Lepisosteus oculatus: one gene and its partners. The protein of the gene in region 2 interacts with the protein of the main gene of each other region in a biochemical or structural test. Links are inferred from orthologs where the notes say so. Each region holds a gene or a part of one and is shown on either strand. Other genes may lie near its edges.

Evidence for each region. The genes of interacting proteins can lie anywhere in the genome.
Region 1: the proteins of pkp4 (region 2) and pdzd2 form a complex in vitro, tested with the Homo sapiens proteins (2 studies listed by BioGRID and IntAct, with this or other methods). The link is inferred for Lepisosteus oculatus from reciprocal best matches to the Homo sapiens genes PKP4 and PDZD2.
Region 3: the proteins of pkp4 (region 2) and patj interact in a test that uses a peptide from one of them, tested with the Homo sapiens proteins (2 studies listed by IntAct, with this or other methods). The link is inferred for Lepisosteus oculatus from reciprocal best matches to the Homo sapiens genes PKP4 and PATJ.

The regions. Positions count from the first base shown.
Region 1 is NC_090698.1:39,800,966-39,811,417, reverse strand, and holds the start of pdzd2 (PDZ domain-containing protein 2), read left to right. Parts: upstream 1-5,441; 5' UTR 5,442-6,250; intron 6,251-10,452.
Region 2 is NC_090707.1:12,702,031-12,713,215, reverse strand, and holds the start of pkp4 (plakophilin-4), read right to left. Parts: upstream 4,586-11,185; 5' UTR 4,532-4,585; coding exon 4,507-4,531; intron 1-4,506. UniProt on the Homo sapiens protein: Plays a role as a regulator of Rho activity during cytokinesis. May play a role in junctional plaques.
Region 3 is NC_090704.1:29,926,507-29,937,088, reverse strand, and holds the start of patj (inaD-like protein), read right to left. Parts: upstream 5,012-10,582; 5' UTR 4,588-5,011; intron 3,704-4,587; 5' UTR 3,672-3,703; coding exon 3,650-3,671; intron 3,223-3,649; coding exon 3,044-3,222; intron 1-3,043. Other genes in the region: tm2d1 (TM2 domain-containing protein 1), read left to right, coding at 5,146-5,281, 6,839-6,907, 7,767-7,875, 8,940-9,031.

The DNA.
Region 1 (10,452 bases), on a different chromosome or scaffold from region 2:
AAAGAACCAAAAAACATGAACTCAGCTGTGAAGTATGATGGAGCTAATATCATGTCCTGGGCATGCGTGGCCACCTCTGGAACCGACTCACTCATATTTATAGATGATGTTCCTAATTTTGGCAGCAGTAGAATGATTCTGAAGTTCATAAAAACATTTTTAGATGCACTAATAGTGATTGGGTGCAGCCTGTCCATGAAGCATGACATTGACCCAAAACATATGGTCAATACAATTAAGGAATTCACCAGGAGACAAAAGTGGAAAATCTTAAACTGGCCAATTCACACTACAGATTTACTGTAAATGTATTTGAGTGGCTGCAGAAAAGCATTTCAAATGATTACTCAAAGGGTTTGGTGAACTCAGTCAGCCACAGGCTTCATGCAGATTTGCGATCGTGACACTAGGGCCATTTCTCCCAGAAGCCTATTAACCTACCAATATGTTTAGAGAAACCACGGTAACCAGAGAAAACCCAAATGAACACAGGGAGAACATGCAACCTTCATACAATTAGCACCCCACATCTGGAATTGAACACAGGGACCCTGTGAGACAGCAATGCTAACTAAACACTGTGCCACTGTGGACAAGGTTATGGGACAAGGCCAAACAAACAGACCAGATCAGCTGAAGCAAATCTAATGAAGAGTACAGATGGCAGTAGTCTTTCAGTGTAATTAGAAACATTTGGTAAAAATTAAGTGGCTGATGATCCTATCTGTCCTGTCTAGGGTGTATCCAGCCTTGTGCCCATTGCTTGATGGGATAGGCTCTGGCTCCCCCTCGACCCTGAATTATATGAAATGGTTAGAAAATGGATGGATGGATGAGTATATTGTTTAGTAAAACCTGAGAAGGGGTTTAAAGTTCATGAATATGTCTATTTCTAGTTGTGGGATTAACAACATAAATCCCTGTGATATCTAACTATTATACTGCTATTTACACATTGTAATGGGTTTAGTTAACAAATTAGTCATTAACTACCATATCACTGACTTCAGAATATCACAAAAGATTTCTCTTTGAGTTTAAAATACGGAATAATTATATGTATTGCGTATTTAAATTGTTATATGTTGTACAGAAACAGTAGTGTTTAGCCTACTTAACTTTATTAATTAATTCTAACGTTTGAAATCTCACTGATGATTGACAAAAAAGCATGAGCAAAGCTTTTTCAAAACTGTCAGTTCTCAATATCACTACTTTAGTAGAAAGAAGAAATCACAAGAAATGACATGCTTCACTGTTAATTGGACTTGGCCAGGTGCTAATTATGTAGGACCATTATGTTGCACCATTAAAGATAGAGAGACTATAACACTCTTTACAAGAACAATTGTGAAGAAGTATCTGAAGGATCAGTTACAAAGAGGAGCTTTTCATTAATCATAAGGTTCTCCATCATTTGCAAAAATAATTGCCCAAAATAATTTGCATTTGCAGCTGGGAGAAAAGGCACAACCATTTTGCACCAGCACATTGCATAATAGATATGCAAGGGAACAGCTCAAATGAACACTAGTGATTAATGAACATGTATCCACGGATGTACTGTATGTTACCTTAGCATTTTTTACTATGTAGGTCTGCATCCACAAATCACTAGCACAATAATCTTTGAGATAATGTGGATTCAGTCCTAGGAGTAACTGGGACTCAAACAAATGTGAGTGCATGACAATTGTATAACCAGTATCATTGAAGCAACATTTGCTACATCTTCTTAGAATCAAATACTATCAAATGCTGGCTCCACAGTTTATAGCCAAATGTCTTAAAGAAACAGATAAATCCAGAAACCTTCAAAGCTGTTATCTGGGGATAAATGGAGAACCCCATTTATTGCTGGGTTAACAGAAGAGACTTTCCTACATTATCCATAAGCACAGGTATTATGTTTCAGTTAATTATAAACAGAAAACAGCAGTACATGGATTTCATGTTTCATATTTGTCTCATAAATTTGCATAGGTTATGCTGCACTAAGTAGATAGCATGTCTGGTCTTATCTGGAAGAGCAGGTTGCCATGGAAACAAAGTAAAACGTTCGCATGAAACATCCATAACCTTCCAGTGCCTTATGATGTGGCAGAAATGTTAACTGTTGCTTCTCTTTTTGACAAAATTCAATTGATTGTTTCAACCTGATTTGTTAAATATCATTTTCAAAAGTAGAACTTTCTGAGGTGAGACACTTATTTGTTAAAAGTATACTATACAATATTTGAGGAAAATAAAAAAAAAATGAATTAATGATTTCTTCCTGGTATGGCTATATGAACATGTTCCAAGTGCATACAAGGTAATATTTAAAACCCAAACAGCATTTTTCCAACTATATTTTTCTAAGGCTGACATTACTCAGAGATCCATAGTATTAATGAGTTCAGTCTTTCTGAACAACTGGCCCATACTTGTTTGCAACATGTACTTAGTTGTTCATCAGCTTTTGATCAATGAATGAATCCTATGTGGTTCAGTATGATATCCAGTATTAGTTTCACATCAGATGGTAAGTTTTATCCAATGATCTTAATATTTCTCCTCCATTTTCCTTTGCAGAAACTTGCAAAGTATAGAAAAGTATGCTCTGGCATTTTCAACATCAACTTCCATTCATTTTTTTCAGTTTGAACATCACTTATGACTGCATGGCTTCCCTTGCGCTAACCAACAGTGGATTATAAAATATTATGTCATTGAAAAAGAGCGTACATATAATTAAACTCCTAATTATACTGTAGTACTACAGTATAATAAAACAAATCTTGCCCAAGCATTGGTTTTCACCTGCCTGCAGGAACACATTCAAGATGATATGAATAAACTCATATAAAACACTTTAAATGTTGAAAGAAACTGTCCTTGTCACCGTATTGCATAGTCCAGTTTGACTTAAAATGAGGTACATAAAAGGCTTATACAGTATACTGTATATGAATGAAAAACAGCATTGTCTAAGCAGATTTCTTAAATTCTTCCTGGGATTTATCTGAAGAGGCCACAACATCCATCATATAATCCAGTATGCATACTGCAAATTCAGTTTACCTTCCATTTTGCATCTGGATATTGCCAAAGATTATCCAATATTGTCTTAATCTGAAAGGAGGACAAAGCAGAATCCATATATTTCCAATTTACCAAAAGAATTGTTTCTGCTACAACTAAAAACATAAAAATGAGCTTTAATTGAATAGACATCTGTTTATAATCAGAAAAGTCACTTTTAAAATCATTTTGGGGGGTTAAATGGTGTGGACCATAAACTAGTATCTTAATTACTTAATTCCAGAAACTTAAAATCTTGATTTGGCAAAAAATGTGAATGAGATTACCTCCGAATTGACCAAATTTTGGATTTATGCTGTAAATGTCATAGCAAATGTGCCTGGTTCTACATAAACAAGGTTTAGCTTGTAACATTCCATACAAAACGAATTTCTTCCTGTATATTATTACAGTATACAATTTTAAATTGTAAGAATTCGATAATTATATAAAACTAGCTGGAATTAATTGATTTTTTGGTCTTTTTTCCTTTTGTTTTTAATTCATTTCAGATTATATATACTGAACTATATCTTTATTATATGTAAATAAAATGTAATATCTTAATAACTCCTATAATAAATCCTCAAAAAATTAAGTACATTGCCTTTAAATGCTGTCAATATTGTTGCTAAGTGAATCATGCCAGCAGATCCAAATTAAACAGATGGTATTAGAGTGTGTTTAGTTCTTAGGGTGCCTGTACCATATACACATATAGACTTAATCCGATTCAACATGTGTGGTTCGAACTCAAGAAGGCAGTTCACAAATGGAAACCAAGGATCTCGAGGAATCCTGCCTCTAGGATTCAAAAATCCTCCCTCAGGAGTGCCAGAACGTCATAGCAGGAGGCATCTTCTCAGTGTAATCTATGCCAAAGGAAGATTTACAAAATACTAATTGAGGGGTGTGATGGAAGTAAGGTTTTCATCTGTACAAAGCTACTAACAGAATTTTTAGAATTGTTTTAAGCAAGAAACATTAAACTTTATATTGCTTTTTTATTTGGGATATGCATGAATGCATCTGTATATATTGTATAGAAGTGCTATGCAAAAGTATCTTAGAGATACTATAGATATCTACATACTTTAACCAGATAGATACAGTGCAATCAGTAATAAAACAGTATATGTATGACTATAAATTACTCAAAGCTTCCACCAGTAGTTTCTGATATCCATTGAATGTTTAGCAAAGCTAAGAAAAAACATCTTATCATTAAACAATTTTACCTGCAGATTGTAATCTTCATAAACGGGATCCCAACAATTCAAAGTATGCATGTGCAGCTAATACAACGTATGTAGATGCAGACCTTTTCAAAATGTTCATTGTTTTAACTGTTCACTTCAAACAGAATGGCAAAGATTTCAGTAGAACTTCCATTTCATAATTTCAGTAGATACCGTGCTCCTGAAAATTTGACTGAAAAGAGCAGAACAGTGCAAAAAATGTCAAAAATATCTAATGCTTTGCACAGCATCGTGTATATTGAACAACTACTGTATACTGTATGGCTACACTCTTTCTGCCTCTTAGGCACTGCGTTCAGATGTCTGCGTAGCTCTCCTGCAGCATTCCTGGGGTTTCCCTGTTCAGCGTTTTGAGCCCTCTCCTCAGATCAAGACTGCTTCTGAAAGGTTCACCTTCGTTCAGCTTACTAACACACTGAAAAAAGATGCGATCTCAAAAACCAAAATACAAGGATAAATTCCAAAAAGCACTTTTATAAAGCCTTAAGAATGCAGTGTACATCAGGGATGATTTGTTATTAATTGATAGCATACTACATTCATGTACTGTACATATACTCTTTCTTCCATTCATCCGGAAATATTCAAAAGATTATGCTTATTCGGAATCTATATCGGAACCCCGTGTTCACATGAAAACAACTTTTGATTGATGATTTGCACTCAGACATTTGGCTTCCAATAATAACGTTTGTGAGAGACATACTGTATATTGTTTGTATAACAATATCCCTACGATTCAGAGCTTTAATTCAAAATCTCGAACAGCTTTGAGACGCTGGATTCTCAATCAAGCACAAACGCATCTGCCACTTGTACTAGAATACAACAACTGCGAAGTTAATCAGATACATTCCTGATGTTTAAATCAGGGTGAATAAAACACTAAGCCCTCTATAACACAACTCTCATTATATTCAGCTACAACATTTTATAATGTTAACTTTCTTGTGTGTTTTTTTCTTTTTTCTCACATCCTATTGGCTTTGAGGACTTGTATCATCACTGCCTTCTTTTTAATATCGATTGCCGATTGGTCACAATTGTCATAAATCAAAAGTGAAGACTCCTCCCAAATCTAACAGCGCTGCTAGATTTAGAAGAGGAAAACTGGTGCGCCTAACTTCTGTCAGGAATAGAAGAGCTTCTTTGAAAATGACTAGATTCGGAGTTTTTCCCCCCGTTTTTCTTCTCTAACGAAGCCGCACTTGGAAGCAAAGTACTGAAATTCAAGCCATAGTGTCCAGGTGATTAGCGATTGGTCTGAATCTCGAAATAGAAGATTTAAACCTCTTGAAGGGCAGTAGTTTGTTCATTCTTGCACCGTAAAATTAGTTTTTTGATCAGAAAAGTAGTGGGCATGTGTTTTTCCACTCGATATTTCTTTTACATTTTAAAGTTAAATAGCAGAGTAAGAATTTAGAAAGTGAAGGAAGCAACAGTTCTTTATTCAAACCCTGAAATAAAGTACTTCTGGGGATAATTATCCTATCTCTGTATCAATCGCATTGTTTGATCTCAGTGCTTTAGTTTCAATGAAGTGGGGAAAATGTACTGTACATACAATGATATGTATATAATTTGTGTGCAAAAACACACAAAACCCTTTCCAGGAATGTTTTGTTCAGATCTTCACATTATTATTCATCGGAGAGAACAAAGAAGCATGTCAATTTAATAATACAAAACTGTCCTGAACCTGGGAAACAACTTTTCTTGAAAAGAAAATAATTTAGCAGCCACAGTGGATTATCGTCCTGGATTGCTTCGGGGGATGTCAGGGAACGTCTACATAGAAGGAATAAATCATTTCCGAATGGAATATAGAAATGATGCAGTAATATATAACCCTGATGACTAGGTGGTCTGCTTTGTCGACCCAGATTATCAATGGGGAAAATACAAATAGCATCCAGCACATGCTAAAGGTAAGTCAGCTACTCTTAAAATACTAGCAAATTATATATACTAGATCCTTTAGAAAACAATAACCTAAATGTTTCTATAGAAATATCAAATTTCTGTAGAAGGTCTGGCGTAGTTTTGTTTCGGTAAGGGACATCCAAGAAAGGAGACTGCTAATTTCCTACATCAAAGTAGAATTAAACAGAATGATTTGTTCAGATTAAGTTGAAATCCCATATTACATACAGAATAATATTCTTGTAGTATTCGGGGTATTTGACATTTTAAACAAAGTTCGAGATAAGAGTAGCATTCATTGTTCGAGCGTTCGATCTTTGTTTAACAATGTAACAACATGTACTGTATAAACGTAAGCAGTTGAGACTACCGTTTGGGTGGTAATTGGTGACAGATGTACAGATGATAATTTAACAGTTCAGATTCTGAGCTTAAAATATCAAAACCATTGCGGCTTTAGGTGGTGCTTCCGACTATTTAAAACATTTTCAATAGCAACTCCTTTCCTTTGAATCAATTTTACCAGCTGTCTAATAATTCTAAATAGTCCTCGTTTTTTGTTAGAAAATACCCCCTCACGCAGTCATAAACCAATTGCATTAGATCACAGCTCCAGAAAAGTTTATTGGAAAAACGTTTTAATATATCCTGTGAACTCCATATGGTTATGACACACTGAAGAGGTGGCATTTCTTTCCATTTTCTCGGTACTGGGTAACATTCAACATTTTCTTTTTTTAGATCGGTTTCGAAAAGACTGTTCAAAACCATTTTTTGACACTTAGACAGTTAACTGAATTTTCATGCTTTCGTTTTGTGGAAAACTGTGAATGCAAATAGATACGAGCACAATTCTCCAGTTATATGGACCACTAACAGTGTTGAGGCGCGTTTCGTTTCCCATCCTAAATCCATTAATATAAAGTTAAAATGAATGGTGAACTGTGGACGGTTGTGCTGTACATGTATTTCGAGTCTTTTCTTTGAAGTACTACATCCAGTGAGAAGTACGTTGCTTATTTAAGTAGGACCTAAACGTAATATTATATTAGATTTGCTAACACCTCGACCAACACACTTCTTTTGGGATATGATAGGACTATGATATGATAGAATTGGCTCTGCAATGCTGAGGAAAACGCATTAAGTATTTCACTACTGTGGTAGTGGATAGGTTAAGTCCCTCAGTACCAAAAGAAGTTTGTTATTCTGCTCCAGATTTCCAGTGTACCAATGGAAAAACTTGACACATGGATACTTTACTGGGCGGAGAAGACTTTTCAGCTTTTGCTAGCATGAGACTGTAAATTAAATGACAAATGTTAAGAGCTAGACAGCTCACTTCCATCATTTCCTTTACCCTTCAACATGCTTTTGGCCCAAACAGATCAAATTAAATATCTGTCCCTACAGGGCCTAAGTCAACACCAGAGCCTTGAGGATGAGGTTGGTACAGTTGGAAAATCAAAGATGAGTCATGGTAGGGTCATACTGGAACATCATAATTGATTAGTTTACTTGACAACTGTTAGATAATGCTTAAACCTTGTATGTTTATATTACATACTCTTTTTAACAATAGAACTCTAAAATGTGTCCAAACCACTAAAATACATTCCCAATTAGTATAATTATATAAAACATAAGCATAAATTCATCCCCAACTGCTTGTTCCTTAAAGGGGTAAATAATTGAAAAAACATACTGTAAAGTAATCTTATCTATTATATATATATTAGATCAGAATTGAGAGGAGGTCTGAAATTACTGTGAGCATGATAGTATAGTTTGTATTTATATGGTCTATTAAGGATAGATAAATACTTTTACATTTCTTATATTTTTAAAAACCTGGAAAGACTTTAAACACGCATCTTTAATAAAATGTCTTACTCAGAGTTTACTATTATTATGTACTGGTCTTATCTCTCTGCACTTTAATATTATGCAAAAGGTGAGGAAGTCCCACAAAATCTGGACATCCTACTATGGACTTGTTATATCCATCCATATTCTAACTGCTTCTTCCAATTCAGGGTCTCAGGGGAGCCGGAGCCCATACAGGCGAGCAGAGGGTACAAGGCAGGGTACACCCTGGACAGGACACCAGTCCATTGCAGGGCAGACAGACAATAACACATAAGAGCTCACACCAGCACCAGTTTTCTCAGAAGACAACCTACTGTACCAGTATGTTTTGGACTGGACTGGAACATGCAAACTCCACATAGATAGCACCCCAGGTCCTGTATTGAACCCAGGGCTCCAGCACTGCAAGACCACAATGCTGACCACAGTGCCATCATGCTGCCCGTTCTGGTGTTGTTTCAGTAATATACTGTATTTCTAAGAATAAAACTAACTCAAAATTCTGCAGAGTACTCTACATACATGTACATAAATATGTAGAACTGTTAACTACTGTGCCACCATGCTTCCTTTAATTAAATACTGTACATACAAGTGATGAAAAGCTATAACAGTAAATGTGTACTAAACAGATGCTTATGAAGGCTGTATTTAATCTTAATTTACTGGCTGCTATGCATCACCCAGGTTGAAGTGTATTGCCTTCTGTATGCAAAAAGCTTTGAGATCCCTTGGGTTGAAAAAATTGCATTTGTGTTGAACATGTTACTGTTTCAGCAGAAATGTTTGTGCATCTGCAGACAGCATCAGCCTTTTCCACATTTACTGAGACAACACTTTTGTCACTTTCAGTCCAATTGAGATGAATATTTGTAACAGTTTAATCATTTCTGAACTAAAACTACAGAGAGTAGTTTAGCTTAGTGTTGCCTCCTTCGGTACTTTTCTTCTTTTTTAATCAAACTATTATATTGATGCCACATATTTGTTCAAACGGTCTTACATTAACAGCTTCAGAAATAATATGCTTTTGTCATACCTTTTTAAGCTTTTTAAGCTAACTTTACTAGCTTGTCTCTCTGATATTTTCAAATACACGAATAAGAGATTAAGCAGTCTTGTGGTGTATTTTCCTGAAAGTGGAATGGTACCACACATCTGAGTTTGCATTGCTGGATACCAATTAATCACCTGATGGAAGCTTAATATCACATGACTGAGAATTCATCGACTGAAATTAAAAGGAAAGTGGAACCACTGTGAATGTTTTTACAGCAGAACATTACTTTCAACTTTTCAATTACAATTTCAACTTTTCAAATCAAGTATGTGTTATTATGATTACAAATATTCTAGGCTATTCTCAAAGGTTGTCCCTGTAATGTCTGTCGTCATTACTGCCCGTTATCATAGTCTGATTCAACAGTGGTTGAATGTTAAAGGAAAGCTGCCTCTGTGTTGTGCTATGTCACTAACATGAACTGTATTGAATGCACCACATCTGTCTAGTATTTGAACATAGAGGATATGTCTGCTGTATAAATAGAAATGCAAAGTGCTATAGATAATTTTAGCAATTATTTAAGCCTGTGCTGCATCAGTGGAATAGATAGCAAGGCTTAAATGTCTGTCTGTTTTAGGAAAGAAGTCTAAAAATATATATTAGCAGCATAAGGAAGAAACCATGATGTTTTCTTATTATTCTTACAATGCAAAAAGAGACTGTGCTCAAAACATGAGTACATTTCTCTGAAAGTGTAAATGGTACTGGCAGTTCTGAAGCAGTGTGTGCGTTTGACATTGTTCCCATGTTTGTCCTCTGGCATTTAAAAGCAGCCAGAGAAATCCATTGTCAAATCCTGTTATTACCATTTTCTCCCTCTCTTCAAGTGTTCTTGTATTGGTGCTTATCTGAAAGTATTAAGAACACAGTTCTGAAAACCTTACCCCTTAAAATAAACTATAGTATTTGTGTCTTCTTCATGTTGCTGATGTTTTTAGAAGTGACATTTTAAATACTGTGCGTCAGATATTGTTTTTGCTCCAAGATTGTTGTGAAAGGCATTTAAAATGTGAAAGCGTGAAACCCCATTTTTGTATTACATAGGAACTTGGAGAGCAATACTTTCCTATGATACAAATGGAACACAAACCAGCAGACCAGACAGGTAGATTCATAAGGTCTTTGCCCACTGTGGTTTTGAGAACAGCTACTGTATGTACAGTTCTTTTGAAAAGGGCGGTAGACTAGGTATAGGTGTAGAGTAGACTAACGAATTAGTCTTTCACTAATTAACTTTTGAAATTTCCTGAATACACATTGGGGACACGTGCCTTG
Region 2 (11,185 bases):
AACTGTCCTGGTTTTGCAAGAAGGCCGAGTGCTCTGAAGTCTTGCGTCTCCAGACAAACTTAGAACCATTAAGCACATGTGATGCAATTAAAAGATGTCAAATACAATCAGTGTTGTGTGTAGGCAGTAAGTACTGTCTACTAGGTAATACTTAAGGACATATCGGTGGTACAAAAGAAGAACGTGGTCTTTTAACCTTCTTGGGACTAGTAAAAAACACAAAAAAATAAAAACTTAAAGTTTTAGGCGATTTGAGGTAGGGTCCACACCTGGCAAATAACGGGTAACAACCTATAAATATACACGGTGGGAAGCTGTGAGCTTGAACATCACCAATGAAAAAGACTTAGAAGCATTCATGCTGACATTTTCATTTCCTAGACAGGAAAATAAAAAAAAATAAAACAATTCAAAATTGTTTAACAGTGTCAAATTGAAACCAAGGGATGTTGTACTAAAACTGCATAATGCAATGAATGCACAAGCTGTGAGTTCCTTCCATGGATGAATAGTGCAGAATAAGCATAATGTGGTCAGCACCGACATCCAACCTGGGCTCCATTTTATGCTTAAATGACACTTTGTTTTCACCAATATGTGGCAAGCTCTGTGTATCAATCTCCCTCTCTCCATCTCCACTGATTCATTATTTCCAGCACATTTTTAATGCATACTATATTTGATATTTAATCAATCTAATCACCAGGATTTAAAACTTCATAAATGTCTTATTTATAAATGTCATGAATGGTAATACTGCACATAGTCATGCAATGACTAAGAAAGGATTACTTCCGACTTGCGTAAAAATCGGGTTATGTGAAGGCTTGCTTGACAGAACTTGTAGGCAAGTATGGAAATGGGCGTATTCATAATCCTCAGGGGCTTTGACTAAGTCAATCTTTTGGATATCTTGGGAATTGGCAGTTAAACACAAGCCAGAAGACACAAATGGACACGAAGGGAAAGTGGCCTGCTATACGAGACATGTCCAGCGATCCAACTGGAGAACATCAAAAGACAACACGGAAGCCTTTTGTGTTTTTAAAGCCATATATTTTAAACAGCAGGTTGAGTGTTCTGTATTTTGTAGGGATCAAATAATAAATGGGATTTAATTTTTTTCTTGCTTTTAGCCAGTTCTAAAAAAAACACTGCAGTGCTACTCCAACTCTGGCAGTCCATTTGCAGCTAACCAAGCTGTCTTGGCACATTACAGTATTCAAATCCAAATCCTCTTTACAAGTCATTTAATATCCCCCCATCTCCTCTGGTTTTGCCAAGAAACAGCTGTGTTTTAACCCGCCTGCAGTTGGTCCACCCTGCCTCTCATCATGAGGTCAGATGACTTCATCCCTCAGCTTCTCTCTGGCTTCACTTGCAATAAGCCCCATCAATTACAGCCCCATATCTACAATGGGACACAGTGCTTAAGAACCATTTACTATTTTCTTTCAATATAACATGCATCACCGAAATGAACTGAGCCACGCACTCCCTTGCAAGATCTTGTTGACCACAGCTGACAAATATCACAAATCTCTACAGCACAGAGGTATACGGGATAATTTTGCCCCACTCCCCACACTTGACACATGGCTTTAATGAGCAATTCGTTATCCATAAAACACAAGCTTCACTGAATTATCAGTGTTGAAAACAAAGCATTAGAAAGCAAGGCGAGGGTTAAACACTTTCAGATCTGCAACACTGAATCCTTCTGCAAGTGGAATAGAATTACTTGCTTACGTCAAGTGGTCTACAGTACATGTCCTGACATGACAAACGTCTACAGCGAATTCCCCATTAACAAGGTTAACAGGAGGGATTTAATCCCTATTTCCTACTATCAACATTAAAAACATAATTCTGTAGCTACTGAAGCCACTCAAAAGGACAAAAGTACAAGGCATTAAGTGTTATTATGAAGAAACCGGCATACTAGTGAAAAGATTAATTGTTTTGAAAGGAAATCTGTAACAGAGTTAGATAAACCATTTATCAGATAAAAGTGTTACAGAAAAGAATGGCACTCATTCATTAATATTTAGTCGGCGCTGATGCAAGAGGGACATAAAACTACAAGTTAATGAAGCTTAAGACAAGAAAAAAAGCTGACCCGGCTTGGGTATAAAAATCTGGCAGTAGCACTTTACAAATGAACTAACAGTTTCAGGGCAAAGTTTCCAGTACAGTACAATAGCTTTCCTGAAGACAGGCAAATAACTAACTAAATCAGACATTTAGCCCATGTGCCATTCATAAATTGCAAACAAGGCTTGGATGGCTAATTCCAGAGAGAAACGCTCCAAATTCTGAGTTTATCACAACAATATTGAGGCAGAGTTCACCTTCTAGTTTAATTTGGGTTTAGGTTAAAAGAATGTCTAACAAGATACATCTTGATAGCACTATCATATCTGACTTCAGTTAGGAGAAAAATAAGATAATCTATAGCCTTTATTTTGCATCTAGCGCAACAACAAAATAACCATGTACTGGAGAGAGATCAGATATAGTTTTATGTGCAATTCATCTGACAATTTCAGCTAAAGACAACCACTACTGTAACGCAGGGCATATTCACTACTGTAACCTGTGGCGTCTAAATCTAGAAGATTTTTAAAACAATAAAAATCTTATCTTGGAGAATTAACAAGATACAGACCAAACTGTTGTAGTTTTTTGTTGTTATATAGTAACCCCATAGGAATCTGGTCAGGTACCTGGAATTCATCATTCTCATAGAGAGGAGTTCTGTAATCAACATCTCAGGAGGACGAGGTTTGATCACAAGTAATGAAACAGTCAGGTGCTCCACGCAGACTGACTGACATTTCAATTAACTTGACTAAATGTATCCAAGAAAAAAAGTAAACATCAGATATTTCCATTGACTTCTAGATACACAAGATTTAGCAGAAGGAACAAGGAGCCTGGAAGAGTAGTGGCTCAATTTAACAGACTTCTGTTCTAACACTAGTCCCTCATCTCCTCTACTCTTCACCCCAACACACAGAGAGTCCACTGGTAAAACCATTATTGTGGAAGAATTAACTTCTGGTGTCCAGGTGCTCAACAGAAACCAAAACTGCTTCTGCAAAACCTGCAAACCTACTTCTTTCTACCCTACTGCAATTCGCATTCTGAACAGCTAACTGCAATGACTCGGACTCAATGCACGTCTGCACTAGGCACTTTCTGCATGGTCTACCGCGTTTTTTTTTTCCTTTCACTACTACATATTTATCATTCCCGTTGTTATTATTTATTATGTTGTACTGTACTGTCTACATTGTGTGGTGTTGCACAGTACGTGCATGTCCCAGGAGATCACCGCAATAAGAATTCTAATATACATATGGCAATAAACTCCTCTACTCCACTAAAAAGCCTTGCAGAAGAAACTATACTGAAGTAGCACTTATTTAAGTTTATTTTACTTTTTAACATGCAATATTGCATCAATGTCACAAAGGAAAGTTTATTTTACACACAGAATTGTTAAACAGAAAAATTACAGCCACTGCAAGCACAGTGAAAAGTGTTTAAAAGGCCCACTAATTAAGCTTTAATATATATTGTATGCAACGCATCACGTTTCTTATTAAAAAAACCCCAGAGAAGATGAGAAGCACAGGAAGATCACTGTTTACTCACACCTCAACAGACTGCTAAATTAAACGCTTATACAGTAGTGGCCAATCAGGCAAAAACAAAGGTAGTAAAGAAAAGCTATTTAGGAAGAAAGCAATTCCTCCATACCACCGCTCCCAGCAGCTTTAATAATGTTTGCCGAGAGCCCAAAGACTGAACTTTAATTGCTTCTTTCAAACAACGGCTTGACTTTGTGATATAAAGGTAATACTTGTGTCCACCACATCTTTTCAAACTTCACCGAACCCAGTCCATAAAGTATTTCAGAAAAACCTAAAATGAAATAACTGAAAAGCATAAGAAAATCTGACCCACCAAAGCACAAAGTGTATTCACATTATACAAACAGACACCGGCCTTTTTAAGGCAGGCTGAAGCAAAGATTAATTCAGACAGGGCTGTGAATACAGAGCAGTTAGAGAAAGAGCAATTTTTTTAAACACAAAAACACATGGGTAGGATTGAGCAAATCGGAAGTTTTTAATGAACTTCAACAGGCTAGACTTTACACTTGTTTGCCAGTAGACAAGTCATTTGAAACAAAGCAGAGAAAAAAAAGGGTTTAAAATGGTCCACTGAGCAAGATGTGTTACTTCACACTGGAAAACAAAGCTGTTCTGGGATTTTTCTACCAATGTTTGAGTTTCGCCTGACAGCCAAAAATGTTTTACTTTCAGTTTGACACACCCTAGGGCTCAGGAATCTTTCCAGCCAGAGCTAACATTTTTATGTTTTGAAGAAGAGAAATGTGGTTCAGAAAAAATGCTCATTTGAATTTAAAAAACAGCAGAATTTGATCTGCTGCTTAAAGATTTCAGTGTATAAAACAGAAAGGTTATAATAACATACCTTTATACCCGGTTATCCTGCACATAAACTGAAGAAGAATGTGTCAGGGGAACGTAGTCCTGCATCTTAAAAAGTGTTGCTCTTTTCCTGCTAAACTGACGGACTGGGGGATTTCCTGCTACCTGAATGATTATCAGGTCAGCTCTGCTGTAAACGTACCTTGTACCCTATGATAAAAATGCTTTAATATGTAAACCTCAAGCCCATTATAACTCATTGTACACACAAGGATGGGCCTGAAAAAGTGAGAAAGAGGAAGCAGAGTCATGGATGACAAATACCTACAGAAATGTTCAGACTCTCCCTTAAGTAGAAGTCATGTCCTGTAGCTAGCCCATACATAGCCTCACCACACCATTCCCACTCCCATCTGGAACACAATCTTGCTCCTACACAGGCCCTGGCTAATTCTTTTTTGCTTTACCCAGACTATCATAGACAATTTTTAAAGCAGCTTTAAAAAATGTACTGAAATGCAATGGCTTACAGAGGAAAATAAAGAGATTTTTAGCAGACAGCTCAAGTTGTAAAATTTACTCTTTAAATTGGTACTTTGGTACCACTTCAGGCTAATGAAGATTTTTATTACAACAAGAAACTGGAACAGGCTGCCTACATGCAGGCAGAGATCCTGCAGGCAATATCCATGTTCACTTTCCCACTGTTTCCTCACCACTGCGGTGCAGTAGCTTCCAGAAGGAAATTTACTGGAAAGCTTTCTCCTCTACCTACACAACCCACCTGCCCTCCAACTACAGATATTATTTTCAGGATAAATGGAAATACCCTTATAAATGCCTCTAAAGTGGGGTATAATCTATTCGGGCACTAAAATTCACGTTTATGTGACAAATCATCTGGCAAGCTGAAGCTTTTGCACAACCCTGCCTTCAAATGACTGTAATTATAAGGTATGACACATGGAGGTAATGCAGCAACAAGATATTCCCTAGAAAAATTGTAAAAAGTTTGGTAGGGGGGAGGGCAAGAGGGTTGGGGTGGTTAGAAGGAAGCACTTAATGAGTTTTAAAGAAGTCAATTGCATTTTTTCCCCATTTTGGAAATTCAGACTTCTTTGCCTAAGGGTACAAACCAGCATCCACATACTGTACAAGCACTCTAAGGGAAGCCCACGAAAAAAAATTCCCCACTGAAGGAAAGCTTAATTACTCAAGAAATGCCGTTGTTACAGAAAAGCAATAATAACCACTCAATGAAATGTATTCCCCCCCCCCCCCCCATTTAAAATTCAAGAAACATGTCAGTATAAAACAAAGTTTTATTTATTTTAGCATTTTAAGCAGTACACAACACAACTTACATTTTGAAAAGGGTTGCAGAGCACAGAAACAGTCCGAACGTAATGCTTAATAAATAAAATAGAAGGATGGTTGTTATAGTTGAATAATTTAGCAGCAACTTTCCTTTGTGCCATTTCAATTAGTATAAAAACAGAGTTTTGAAACAAATAGCTGGCATACAATATTTAAATCTTAGTGAAAAAAAATGAATTAATAACAAAACTAAATCAATCAAATCTTACAGTATAATAATGACTGTAACTGCCACAAAGTGAAGTGTAATTTGTCCAATAAGGAGTTCAGATCTCCATCTTTAACTGATAATACCTTGAGATGAACTGACTTACACCAGGTGATCAATCACACTTGTAAGAAAAGCAATCAGCTTAGCAAGCTGCCCACTTATCAACAGTCAACACCTGTAAGTTCATTATACTGGACTTGAACATAAGAATGACAGCAGCAACAGTTAAATTAAAGCACTTCTTCCTCATCATTCTCCTTCGGTGTGGTCTTAATCCTCCCCACCACCAATACTACAATCACAAATTCCTAGTGTCACGATACCGGGATCCCCACGTATCCTACCATCCCCCAGAGCCCTGGGAAAATAAATGTATGAATAACAAAAACTTGAAAGCATGAGTCTCCACATTATTGAAACTTACTTCAAATATATATATATATTTTATCGAGCAGATTCCTGGAGGGTGTCTGTCATTTATTTTCTCTTTCAATCAACATCTGCGGTACTAGCACTGCAGGACCATACTGGTTGTAATACATGCAAAAAGTCAAAATGACCTTTTTTTTCCTCCTCGTTCATGTCACGTCACATAAATTCACATTCACTAGAACAATGTCATGGAAACAGCACTGGTTTGTTGTCTCGCAGGCAATGCAAAGCCCATGGGAAACCCCAGGCTTGTTTTGAAGGTCTTGTTAAAAAGAGGGAAAGAAAATGTTTGTCAGGGTTAAGGTGATAACATTTTAACGCACTGCAACATGAAGAGGACGGGACACTTCACATCTCTATAGCTAGTTAAGCAAAGCTGGCACGCTGAAAACTACTGCAGTTATAACAGCAAAAGCATAACCCAAAGGCCCTGTATTTAAAGGAAATGTTCAAAAAATATTTTATGGATGGAAAATGTACTTATCTCTGTGAAATATACAGATGGATAAAATGCCAATGTAAAGTGGCTTAACAGAGCACTGGGCCAGCACACCCAGCCAGTACAAGCTGTATGCTCCACAATATTGAAGCTACCAATATTTAGGATTCTGTAGGATGGAGCACCATTTTTCCATGGGTTAATCAATTCTCACCTGGTTGATGGAGTTGGAAAATGTAGTCTTGGGTATTGTGCCTGAATATACCATAAGTTTTTTGACTGGGTAAAATAACCTGTTGACAGAGAAGACCATGACATAAGGATAGCGATGTCATGAGAATCCATTGTGGGAACACACATACTCTGTGGATGGAGGCACCGTCATGAAATCCTGGAAAACACCCTTCCTAGCAGGAGAGACCAGCTGCAAGAGATGATCCCTCACCACCAAGAATGAGTCTGAATGCACTCAAACCATGACATGAAACTATGCCTCATGACATAACAGAACCCTTTACTGTTGGCACCAAGCACTCAGAGTTTGATAGGTAAGCACCACAGATGCACTCGTCCTTTGTGTCAAGAACATGACAAGGATGATTCACCTGACCATACCATACTTCGCCACTGCTTGGCAATCCATTGCCTGTGCTCTTTGCACGACTGGACTGGCAAAACTCCATTGTCAGGTGTGATGAGTGTTTTCTTTCACTGCAACCTGACCACAGTTTCTCGGTGGACCCCTGTGCACTGGCTGCACAATGAAATTCGCAGTCAGCTGATCAGCAGTTGCGCATCTGCTTAGCCTCTCACCTCACATTAATACATAGATTGCTGTCTTGTAGTACGCACTTCTGCCCACTCAGATTTCCATGGTGACATTACCTTAAATACCACTGCTCATAAAATCAACAGCAAGTGGAGCCATCTTGGTTACTTAAGCTCCTGCCAAATACACCCCAACAATCGTCTGGCTTTCAAGGTCACTGGGGTCCTCTCTTGCAGTCATACTAATTATAATCATAAGCAAAAAAAGCAATCATACCTGAAAAAAAGCAATCAGGCATGTCCAATATTTTTATACATGACCCACAGCATGCTGGGATATTATTTGCTTAAAAAATGCATGAGCCTTAGCTGTGTAAAAGCCTTTGTTTTCATTACATTTTTTGTCCATAATTTACCCAAGTGTTTCCATTTTTCTGTCCGTTAGCTGTACATTTACCTGCACTTATAAGAGAAGGGGGGTTCTATCTGAAGATAAACAACTTTGTTCACTTGACTTACTGATAATATAAAATCCAAAGAAATAACAGCATGAACTAAAAAGTACATTTTTTTATTTTCTGGTGAAACAGCTCAAAGCTTCAAACTACTATCTTCTTTCTTTAGAGGATGAAGAAAAAGAATGCAACTCAGCTAAAGCACTAGCCCAAGGGAATCCAGTTATTCAATATCTGTGAACTCCAAAACAATAGCATGATCAAAATAAGACAATTATAGCTTTGATTCTTCAATAAGCTTGTGACAGACCACAAATCCTGTGATGATCTTTTTCCCCAGTACTTTGTTTGGCACAACGTCTGTAAACACTGAGTACTCAGGCAAATGGATAAACAAAATCCTGAAATAACAGAATAAGACAACTTTTTGGAATCGCACTACAGTTTACAGTTGTGTCACATCGGTGCGTGGGGCAATGGTGAATTATTCTATAAAATGTGAAAAACAATGAATTCAGCGATCCTGAGGGGGTCATAACTAAAGGTTATTTCACATGAAGTGAGAACAAGAGTATTGTAACCGTTCTCAAAAAGCAAAAAAAAAAATCTGATCTACAGTTACTTGTCCGATACAAAAAAAGCCTAATTCAAATCAGAAGCTTAGTGTTACTTAATTTGACCTGTTTAAGGGTACACAACAAATAAGGATTTGAATAAAGGTAATAAATCATTCAATATGTTTATAGTAACTAGCTAAGATTGTATAGTCAGCTGCTCATATACTTCTTTCCAACTCATTAACACACAAAACATGTCTGCAGCATACATTAAGAGCTATTACTATGTCCGTAACCTACAGTCTTAGAAATGAACATGTTCATTTCATCATGTTAACATTTTTCCTTTAACCTTTTCTGGAATTCAGAAATGGAAATGAGCAAAACTAGTCCTTTTTATTAGAAAAAATCACAGGACTGCACATCTTTAAAATCACAGAATGAAAATAAACAGAAGGTCTGAGGCCTCAAAGCAGAATACCTGAAAAAAATAACCCTTTAGGAAATAAATTTCCGTGAAATCTCGTCCCTTACATAAGGTTTCCCCAAATAACATACTGACCAAATCACTTAGCATACTAAGTGTTATAAGAGAGATCTAAGATAAGATACATGTAATATAGAAGAAGCCACCAAAGCATGGAGCAATTTCCAAGGAGATCACCATGTAATACTGATGAAGCACCTGATGAACTTTCTAAATTGAAGGTTTTAATTAGTGACTGAACAATATTCGGCAATGCTGTATTCTGATTCAGGTTCTCAACCTAAATGCCAACTCAAGTAGGCCATTAGGCTCATCTGGATTCTTTTGTAATTAGTAGCTAATTGATCTTAGAATCTTATCCAGCCACATCTGATCAACCAGATTTGTTTTATGTGCTTTCACTTCACCCTATTAAACTTTGAATTTACGGCTTTCCAATTTTCAGATTTCCCTAGACTGCTTCCACTCAATGCAATCTAGTATTTTTACAGTTCGTGCCGCACAGGAAACCCCGCTGCAATTTGCATTTGACATGGTTATGTAATAATGTGCTTTGAAGCCTCATTTATTTTTTACCTCTCCCTCACAGACACACAACCAGCTGTCACTTTGAATTCACTGAAACACACCCCCTTGTAGTGCTATGCATTACATTATGCCAGTGTTGTTGTGCAAGTCACACTTGACCTTAACCTGGAGGAAAAAGCTTGAAGACTACTCAGGCAATAATGCAAAGGACCTAAACCTGTATTACATGCAAGAGGGTAATACTGGCATTAATAAATGTACACCCATAATACACCAATCAACACCTTGCACCGTACTCAGATACTGAGTTAAGGATATCCATGTCTTTGTCATCTTCACTTAATCTGAAGTCGTCTTTAAAGAGGTTTTTGTACCTTACAGGACATGGAGAAGAACGAAAACAATTGTATTTGACATGCATCTAGGATGCTCCAGCGTAAACAGAAATGAGGCATGAATAGTGACTTTATTGAATCCAAAAGTAAAGAATTTCACACTTTTCTGCACAATGACTGACTTCAGCAGTCACAAACAGTTGCTCATCCCAGTGAAGGAAAACAGATACTTCATGTCTCATTTCTCTACACAGCTACCCTATTTTCATTGTCAACCCTATGAATTATATTCCTTTTTCTTAATAGGACCATACACAAAAATATGCAATGTGAACTGAAGTATTCGCCATTGTATCACAATAAAAACGAGGGTATTATTAATATAACAGATGTTAAGAAAAGAGTATATGGTTGCCTTGACAAAAAAACATTCAACTTTCTTGTACCTTTTTTGTCATTACAACCTCTCCTTTCTTTCAGATTTATCTTAATGAAGCTGGAGAAGGCCAGTGTAACATCTGCAGCTGGTCAGTGTGTTCATGACCACTGCAAATTGTCATGCTAGACTAAACAGATGCTGTAGTGTTCTTTGTTTTCGAATACTATTCAATGAGTCACACTGCTCTTGGACAGTGAAAGTACAGAAGTATTTACACATGCATATAAATAAAGCTATTTAAAAAAAAAACAAAGAAACACAGTTACAAGATTAGCATTTTAAGATCCACAAATTTACATGTTATGGGTTTTGAAGCCAAGTTACAGCTCTTAGAGGGCTCCACAGCAGAGTGAGGATCACTGTGGGTCCTGCAATGGGAAAAACTACTCGTTGTGGTGTAAGGCTTAAGATAAGACCAGACTCAGAAGACAAAAATTCCTTACACTTATATAGTGCTTTTCTGGACGCTCCATTTAAGGTGATTTACAGGTAATGGGGACTCCCCTCCACCACCAATGAGCAGCCCCCACCTGGATGATGCTCCAGGACTCTGGACACACACCAGTTATCAGTAGGGAGGAGAACAGTGTGATGAAGCCAACTCATAGGTGGGGATTATAAGGAGGCCATAATGGTTAAAGACCAATAGGAAATTTGGCCAGGTCACCGGGGTAACACACCCCTACTCTTTTCA
Region 3 (10,582 bases), on a different chromosome or scaffold from region 2:
CGACAAGCCTTCTTTATACTGCAGCAAAAACGTCACATGGAAATTCAAAGCAAGAGCACCTGAAAGGCTGAGATTTCTTCATGCCTTGATTATATTCACATTGTTACAGTTATAGTCTAGCTGTCTGCAGAACTGGACAAATTTACTTCTCTGGAGGTCTCAATCTTTTCTGGATATACTACCTTAAAGCAAGTGCGTTGTTTATTTACGTTTTAGAATACCTTAGGGAAAACATTAATTATGACCCATAACAGAACTAATAGGATCAAATGAGTTTCTCAGATTTATACGCAACAGGACTCATTGGGGAAAGTACAATCTGTACAAGTAGTGTAAAAAAGGTTACAAATGATAATTAGACTATTATTTCAAGAAAAAGAATTTGACTTGGCATGTTTTGTTTAACCTTCAATGAAGGAAAACTAAAAATGCTCTTATCTCCAGCCACAGCTTAAAAAAACCAATAAATCATGCTCCAGCTCTGCCAGAAACTCCAACAAGTAATGTATTAATGACCTACGGACTTTCTGTGCAAAAGATCTGTTAAATATGTCTGTTAAACATGCTACATATTCAGCAGAGACTGACTACACAGGCCGTGCCATCAGTATAAGGGAGGCAGATACCCAAGCCTGTAGAACCAGATACCAGCCTAGTTAATGATACTGTACATCATAAACAAACCCACAACTACTGGATACATTCCTGTACATGGAAACTCACTTTAAAAAATACTTAGTATACAATGACAAAGTAGTAGCTATCATCACATAAGAAAAGTTCTAACTCAGGGAAAGACACTTTGCTCATCTTGATCATCTGGTTGCTTTTTGACCAAAACATTCCATGAAATCTGCAAATTGCTAAATTTCTCTGCGGCATGTTCCAACAAAAAAACGAAAACAACCCTGTCTGTAAAGAAGAGCCTCCAGTTTTTAGTTCTAAATATGCATTTTCTTTGCTTCCATTTTTATCCTTACACTGATATTTCTGTGTTCAGAAGTGTATCTTTGGACTAGCTTTACAAAACTCTTTCAGGATTTTAAAAACTTACATTAAGTCCTCTTAAAACCTGGAGATTCAATTCCTTTAACCTGTATGATGTTGTTTTAAAGCCAGAAAGTAACTCTGCTATCCTTCTTTGAACTCCATTTCACAGTTTTACCATAATAGGATTTAGACCTTTCAGTCTTAATGTAAATCCAACAGGGTTTACAATAACCAATTTCATATCTCTTTAAACTAAATTATGAATTAAACAATGAGTAATGAATTACAGGGGATGTGAAAACGTAAATGAAACCCTAGTTTCATTAGCGCAGTTAAGGGATTAATTTGAATAATATATTTCAATAAATAGGCAGATTTAGGGGGCTAAATTTAGAAGCCCCCACCCTATATAAAGATTAGAAACATTCTGAGTTTGGTCTTCACCATACAGGTGTGTGGAAACAAGTCATGCCATAATCGAAGGAAAACTTTGAAGACCTCCTAAAAAAGATTTTGTTAGTCGTCAGTCGCGAAACTTAGCACCATTACTTAGGATACGAGACTCCACCCATCTACTGTCAGAGAGTCTACAAATGGACTGTTCAAATCCACAGACACTCTACCCAAGAGCACTTGTCCTACCAACATCTCTTAAAGAACAAAGCAGAAAATCAAGTTCTAAAGAAGTTCTAAAGAATGCCAGAGTAACATCCTAAGGAACTGCAAGTCTCCCTCTCCTCAGCTAATGTGACTATTCATGCCTCAACTATGAGAAAGCAACTCAATAAGAATGGTGTTCAAGGAAGGATAGCGAAGAGAAAGCCACTGCTCTCCAAACATTGCTGCTGGACACTGATAAGACAAACCCATTTTTGAACATTCTTGCTGCCTGCATAAAATATTGTCATCCAGGTTACATATTGAAATATTTTACTTCAGCATACCTCCAACTGAACATAAACTATTGAACCAGGTTTCAGTTTTCAAGTAGCTTGATGTTTTGATATTACTTGTCTGACACCCCATTTAACCCAAATGACGACTGCAAAAGTGTAACAAGACCACTCCTTTACAGGCAACAGTGAAACAAATGCCCAATAGCACAAGCACTAATAAAGAGACTGTGCATTTAGGACTGGAAGCAGGAGACACTTCTTTCCTTAACAAAATGTTGTCAGAATCTGCAACAAGTTACACTGCAACATTGCTAAAAGCAGGATAGCTGGAATGTTTCAATGAATGGCTGAATGAGACTCTTGGGTCAGTAAGTCACTATCAACCAAGCCAGAAAGAATTAACTGAAATGTCTCCATTGTTTCTAATCCTCTAAAAAGTATATTTTTTTGCATCTTTGGGTTAACATAAATTAGATTATTAGTGCCCTTCTGACTCCTCTTCTAGTCTGTTCTAGACTTTCTCTCTTTTTGAGAGAGTGTGAGAGTTAATGCCACAATACATGTTATGATAACTCAAAAAGAGTGCTCTCCGTACCATTGTCGACTTATAGCGTTTCCTAAGAGCACTGTACTCTACAGCCAGTTCTAAATCTCTAGTGCTAATGACATGCTGTAATTGATCAGTTTGCTTGTTTAGACATTTTATTTAACTTGTTCTTCTGCCGGTCCTAAGTGCCAAAAATACCCAACTTCAAAGGTACTGCTTCCTACAACTCCAGCAAGCAGATCTTTGCTCAAATTATTGGTCATAATTTATGATGAAAAAAGTCTTACTATATAATCGATGGATGATGGACAGACACACATGGGAATGACACTGTCAGACCCACCCACTGTGGAAATGGCACACCCACTGGTGTATAGGCTTTTTTCCTTCTGGAAAAGTCCAATCAAAGCCATTTCAGGCAGCACACCTGACTGATGAGTATTCTGAAACTCAGACACTGGTACAGGGTTGATACCTATTTCGAATCCCATTTGACCTGTTGAGAGCTGAAAGCAAATGTGTCTCTATGCTGACTGCAGAGAGAAAGCTACAAGCAGCAGCCTGTGACTAGGAAGCCAGCAAACACAGTGCTCCCCAGGACCTTTCACACCTGCTCCTTCAGCTGCTTGATGGAGTGCTGCAGTGTCAGGATGTGGCCAAGAAGCGGACTCCGCAAGGCATCTCTCAGCGCTCCCAGCCTCTCGCTATGCGTCCGGTCATCCCGGTCTTTCAGCTTGGACTGCAGTCTCTCCAGGGCCTGCAGGACCTGCTGCCTCTCTGAGGTCGAAACTGCAAACCAAAGAGCTGGCTTAGCCAGGCACCACCTTTTCCCGAATGAGCAGACTGCTAAATGTGCCTGAAGAGAAACCTGTCCTTGCCGCAGCTGAGCTAAAACAAAGATTGTCGGATTAAGGGAGTGCCCATCTCTTTCATAACACAACCTGCTCCCACGCAGCATTTACAAACTGTACCCCGAGAAATAATTACTGAGGAGTACATAGAAATGTGAACAGGTGGAATTATCTCTTAATTTACTTTCTTATGGAAGAAACCTTGGCCACATTCCACCCAATTCTAGCCCCCAAAAATGTATTACCATAATTGTAACTTTCCTACAGTAGTTCAGAATATATTATTCACTCATATTAAGTCAGGAGCTCAGAAATGTCTAATATAACTATATACAGACCACAAACATATATCAAGGGATTTATACCTGATGGGATACTTTCAAGCATTTTTTCTTCTTCTGAAGATGTTCTCCTAATATCTATAGAACAATGAAAAAAAGAGATTGTTAACTTAAAAACTTACTACAAAAGTTGTTTCATTCGAAAAATCCTAAACTAAAACAAGCTGGCTTGCATGTTATATAATTATGCTGGATTTGCACATTTTAGGTTACAGCAGCAACCCCAAGGGAACGGTGCTCGTATTCAAAACCATACTACACAGAACTACGAGATATGTAGAGCCATTGAACGCAAAATTAAAATGATAGGCTTTTTAAAAAATGTATCGATAAACATCATAAACTTTAGCGGAAGAGAGGCGAGGCTAATCTTTATCCAGCTGGTATACTATTACTGTCATCAGAAGTTTAGAAACTGAATTTAATTTGCCAACACGTCTTGCCTTCTCTGAACTGGGTTGCCTAACAGGAAGTTAGTTGTACTCGGGTAACATATGTTTCTGCTCGCTGAATTTACCTTCTGACTCCTAAGCTCTAAAATTCATAAAGTACGAGGAAACGGAACAAAGTTAAGAGTATTCAAGTGACATTTACTTTTTTGTAATTATTAAGAAAAAATACACAATCAAATTTTCAACACCACGGGAATACATTTCTCTCTCCTTTCTTCCGTTGTCAAAGTTACTTTTTGTATGCGAACTGCATCTACAAACTGAGATAGGACAGCATTAAAATCATGCAAATATCGAGGATTTAAAAAGGCAAGAAATGACTAACATCCGCGTCCATGCTATGCTTCTTAAAACTTGCTAAAATACAGCTGTATTTCAAAATCTGTGCTTTCGCCTCTGAACAGCTACTAGTTAAACAACTGATCTTGCTTTTGTATAAATCTACATTAGGTAGCTGGAGTGGTACAAGAAATAAAAAACGGCGCTTAGCAGTGATTTCTCTCGGCTTACCTGTCCAGCGGAAGTTTGTGAACTACGGATGACCGCACCTCACCTGAGAAACAGGAAGTGTAGAAATGAAAAAGCCGTGCCAGGGAGAGCTCACCCTGTCCGTAACAGCGCTTTCTCCTCAGCTACGCCAATCTACGATCTGGACGTGTAGACAGGTGTATATACCTGGAGAAGCACATTTGGTGCAGATTACGAACATCCAGTGTTACTTTGCTAAATCCACACGTTTTCCATGTCATTATTTATACGAATAAAGCCTCCTTTTTCGTTTCATTGAAAGGGACGTTGTTAAAATAAACCATTTGCGGTTACGAGTCTGAGAAAGAGTAATTAAATATAAATCTATGGAATATTTAACTTAATTATAAATTGCAGTCATTTCTATTTAGTTGCCAAAAGACTACGGTGCTGTACTATGGGTGTGTATTAAGTGGAGTTTTCATTGTTAGCCACTGTTATGCAACAAAATGCGTTATTTGTAAGATTAAAAAATAACCAGTTGTGTGCCTTTAAGGTGAAAGAGCTTCCCTCCTCACGTGACTTACGTGTCCGACCAGCATGGCTGCCTCCAGGAAGCGAGGCTTGTATTTACTGTCATTTTTGTGGATTTTAATTTATTTTACAAGTTCTAATGAGGCAGCGGTGTCTACAGACGACGTGAAAGAGTGTGACAAACTTCTGCTTGGACAATATCCTTTGATAAGTGATAAATCCTCTGGTTTGTATTCGGGACACTGTTGTGAATTTCCCGTCATGTTAAAATCTATCTTTGTATTTGAGGTCGATATTCTAATATAAAGTCCGATTTTTTCAAAATACGTTTTGGTCGTATTGTAGTAGTATGTAACTTTTGTGATATGTGTATGTGAGCAAAAAAAATCTACAGCGTCTGACGTGTGAAATACAATACGAACAAGAACAACGACTTAGAGGTGTTCGATTCCTGTAACTACGGTTATTGCTTCTTCCAGAAACGCGAGATCCTACATATTTTGACCTACAAATCCGATTATATATATATAATTTATTGCAATTATTATTGTACAGTAAATTAGGGTGACAACACGTCCTCTTTTTCCCCGGACATGTTCTCTTTTTGAGACCTACTGTAAAATATCGGTCCGACCGGGATTTATAAAATTCCAAAAATTGTACGTGATTTTGTTTTGCTCGTACTCAGACTATGTAAACAAACATAGGCCTACATGTTTTCGTTCGTTCCATGCATTACCGGTAGATGTTTTGAATTTACACGCAGCGTAGCCTGAAAAGGGTTTGAGTGTGTGGCTGTTTTTATGGCCATGAGAAATAACAATGTTTAACTTGTTTCATTATATTTCAAAAGGTTTTTGCAACCAAAGACGACTTCTCCTAAGTTATGATGTCTTCATTTTTCCTCAGATGATAAGACTTTTGTTGTGTTAAAATGAAAAACAAAGTTTAAAATAGGGCTAGATTTTTTTCCTTGTGTGCCAATTATGGATGAGAAATGACAACCCTGCAACTGTTTAAATGTTTACTAAGAAGTTTAATAAAAAAAAACTAGAGAGTTTAAATTGATTTTTGATTAGAAAAAGTAATAAAGCTTCATTACTTTGGAGGCATGTGTTGAGTGTCGATTATCCCCCCCGTCCTCTTTTTTGAAAAGCCAAAATATGGTCACCCTAAGTTAAACATTTGAAGTCATATTGGTGATTGGTTTTATCAGTAGCCTATTACTGCATGCTCGCACACCTTTGAATGCTGGGTAATCCACTAGTCTGCTGGATCATACTTGATAAGTTTATGAAAATTGTGTCAATTCACTGAGAAGAGCCTCGTGTGATACCCCTATTAAATGAAGAGCTACATCGATGCCATTGCTTAGTCTTTATATAGTAATTGGATATGCTAGAGCGAAAAAGTCGAGGGTTAATTTTGCGAAAGTCGAGTTACAAATGAGCTGCATAAGCAGTCTCGAATCCTGGCATTTGTGCAAACAAACCTTTTGCCACATTAGGTCCCTGTTTGCTGTTTGTTTAATATAACTATCAGTATCGGAGACGATTCAATGAAGAAATTGCTGTCCCCAGTGCCTAGGGTATTGTTGTATGTTTGTATGTGACTACCTTAATAAAAAGTGCTCCCCAAATTACCCATACCCCTGGTCTAATCTGTTTAATTGATTCAGATGTATTATGGCACTGTGTAAAGTGGACTGTTTAGAAAAATTGAATGGATACTTGCTATTCCTTAATCTTCAACACATATCTGTGCAAGGATCCCAAAATAAACGATGACACGCAAGAGCCAGAAAACTGTAAAGATCTAATAGCTTACGGTGAGTTTGATGTTAATGAACTATTATTCTAGTGTTGGTCTTCACCCACACAGTCTGGGTCTTCACTAGGTTTGTTCTTTGTTTTGGCTCCTATTGGATCCTACAGGAGCTGGCAGCTCAGACCATGTGGAACATCAAAGTGCAGTGCAGAGGGACTGTTGTTTGGTCTCTCTTTATTGTTGCACTGCTTATTTGTATCTGTGCTGTGCGCTGCACTGTATTGATTATTTCTCACTGTTTGGTGTGTCTTGAAGGCAGTTTCCATGCTGCTACTGGTGAGGGACCGCTGTCTAGATATTGTTCTTACAACCTGAAATGATGTGTTTTAAATCACATAGCAAGGGCTTTTAAGAACCTTTATATAAGCACAGAGTGCTTGGCATGTCACTTATCTCTGAGAAGACCAAGTTCTCCAGATGGTATTATTTCTTTATAATGTCTTTAAGGGACATTTAAGAATCAGATGCTACTAGTCGCAGAAAAGTCTTGAAACTATTAGATGAAATGACTACGTCAATTTCACGTATCGTGTAGGGCCAGGGGTTTATTGTAGAGTGATGCACAACTTTTGATCTAGTGCAAGGACTCGCAAGCAATTTGTTACTGATCAAAAAAACCTGCAAGCAAACGTCTGTTCTCTAAACAACTGGCCTCAGAAACATTTTTCTTATTTTGTAAAAGTGTTTTTAACAAAGCAACAGTAAAAATAGTAGTGATAGTATTATAACTAGTGGTAAAAAGTTATTTTTCTTACTACTATTGAACACAAAACTGCATTAAGTAGCAAGCTGATATTATTGTTATGGAATTTTTAACTCTTTTTATGTTAAGCTGAATCTGTGTTCTTGAACCTTTTCAGTTGAGTGTTTTCCTGCCCGTGGGATAATTTGTCGGTGTCCCAATATGACAGTCATGAATTTCACAGGAGCAGAAGTTGGATTTTACAAACCTATCCCCTGCCGAAATGTGTAAGTAAACCACTTCTACATGAACATGCAATTAAAATGGAAAATCCAGGTTTACTTCTCCTTTATAAATGAAATGGCAGGCAGGAGTGTGGAGTAGCTAGGGGCTCTTGACCCATAACTGGAAGTTTTTCAGGTTCAAATCCAGGTAAGGTCCCACTGTTGTACCTGTGAGCAAGGTACTGCTCCATTAAAAAGTCCAGCTGTATGAATGAATGCAGCTGGGTATTGCTTTAGGTGAAAGTGTCAGCCAAAGTAAATTGATATATTCTTTCATTTTTCAATGTGTTGAAAACAGAGACAAGGCAGAAGTTCATGCTTTTCCTTTATTCCTTTGAATGTTTCAGCATTGCCAGATCTCTACATCTCTCCTAGTCAAAATGAGTGAAACCCAAAGCTGCACTGACCTTGTAAAGCCCTTTCAAAACCGACCCTGTAAAATATTTCCTTTTCATAAGGAAGCCTGAGCAAGGCTTTCATATTCTAGTGCCAACTGGTAAGATTCAAAGCCTCAGAAATCACAATTCTAGTATTTTTGTTTTCCTTCCGTGTTGCTAAAGACGAACTGCTGCGGAAATTCTCCAAATCTCTGCCCTTTGTTGTTGAGTAAAACCTTCAGACCTTTTCTGCCTATCATAAATGGGGATTTTTGGCCATTGTATTAGCGCTTTTCAGATTATTCTCTGTTTTGTCCCAGTGAATTCATGGCTACAGCTCTGAAGCTCTGAATTTGCAGTAGCAAATTAATCTGAGTATTCACCTTAAAGGTTAAGGGGTCTTCTTCTTGATCAGCGGTTGAAAGGAGAGTTTGCCAGTAGTTTGCTTTCCCTGGTGCCAAACACTGCAGACATGTCTATAATGTTGTTCCGTCTTGCCATTCTGTTGAACAAGGCCGCTCTGTACCAGCCCTGACACACTGCCTGAGTTTGACCACCTCATAGCTGGGCTGAAGCAGTCAGCTAGAAACAGTAGATCGCAGGAATAGACTCACCTGAGAAGAGGCTGGGAGCAGCTGTGTGGAGTCTCACTTATTGACCTCGTTATTTTGTCCTGTTTTGTGTGTTTAGCAGTGGTTATTCATACAAAGTTGCAGTCGCCCTGTCCCTCTTCCTTGGCTGGCTGGGAGCTGACCGCTTCTATCTGGGCTATCCAGCACTAGGTGAGTGCAGCAGCTGCTGCTACATGCCACACACACAGGCTCTTGTGTTACATCCTCCAGTCAGAAAGACAATTACTGGCACTCCTAAACGGTATCATCTGAAGAGGAAAAATCCCACTTGCATTTTTCATTTCAGTTATATACAGATTGTGTATGTGAAGTTGTTTGTACAGTACACCCTTGGTTTAACAGACTAATAGGGGAAAGGGGTGTCCATTATTGCTGAATGTCCCTTAAATCACGTGTGGATCTTTTTTGGATTTTTTATCAATTGCAATCAACATAATCAGTGGCAATTGTTAAGTGCCATTTTTATCATTAATACACAAGTTATTTATTTCATGTATGGTGAATATACTATATACAATTCGCTAAAGGAGATGATATTCAAACACTCAGCGTAACCAATTTGCCTACCCCCGTGTTTTAAAGCAGGTAACTTCCACAATAACAATGACCACCTTCCCTGTGAGGAAATAAAACACTCAGTATATGAGTATATGTGTCACGCAATTGCTACATGCTATACCAATTGCCCTATCTTAGTGGACACCATCAATAGTCATGTCTTTTAGACCTATTTAAAGATATGTTGTACAAAAAATGCAACTTATCATTTTTTGCATTTAACTCTATCTGTTATTGTGGGGAAAGTCGGTTATTTTGTGACCTTACAGAAAAATTTCAACTGTAGCAGATTTTGTCCATTAAATTCATTAAAGAGAAGTTCGTCAAACCGTGGTTTTACTGTAATGGGGTTCTTGGCCACAGTTAGCTGTGGTCTGGGTCCAAGGACGCACAGGCACAATAAACACAGTTTGAGACAGTTCTTTTATTTTGTGCCGGGCTGTTGATAGAAATGTGGAAAGGAGCTGAGGGTGTGGGAATTCCTCATGGGGCTAGTTGTTTTGACATACTGGATATGCAGCTCCACCACACCAGAGAGATTTCATTCTGCGGAAGAGAGGCTGGTCTGTGACGTGTGACACATGGGACACTATAGCAAACGCCTCCCCTCCTGTTTAGATGCACTGTGAAGATCTGAATATTAAAAATAGTTTGATGCACCAAGCATGTACAGGTAGGTCATGATTAAGTGGCCGATGTGTTCCTAAATGTATATCAAGAGAGTGTAAAGTAAAAACTTAGTCCCCGTAACTATAAATGTAATTTTGACAATGCATTCCGGGTGTGCTCCCAAATACGGGGAACATTGAACTCCCACATAAAAGCAATCACAATTAATTTATTCTCGGAAGATGGTTTACATAGTAGTGCTAAAAGTTATTTTTCAACTAAATGTTCATCATTTTATGTAATTGTAGACTTCACCATTTCATTTATTTAATGTTAAGTTGAATTGTTAAATGTTAAGTTACATTACTTACTTAACATTACGGTATTTCTTAAAATAACTATCAATGTCATTTTCAAAATATTGCATTGAATTTCTTTTTATTTATTTTTTCCTCACAGTAACTTTGTTTTAGTTTTTTTTTTTCTACAGTGTGAATACAAGGTACAGACTAAGACTACCTATACAATACACTT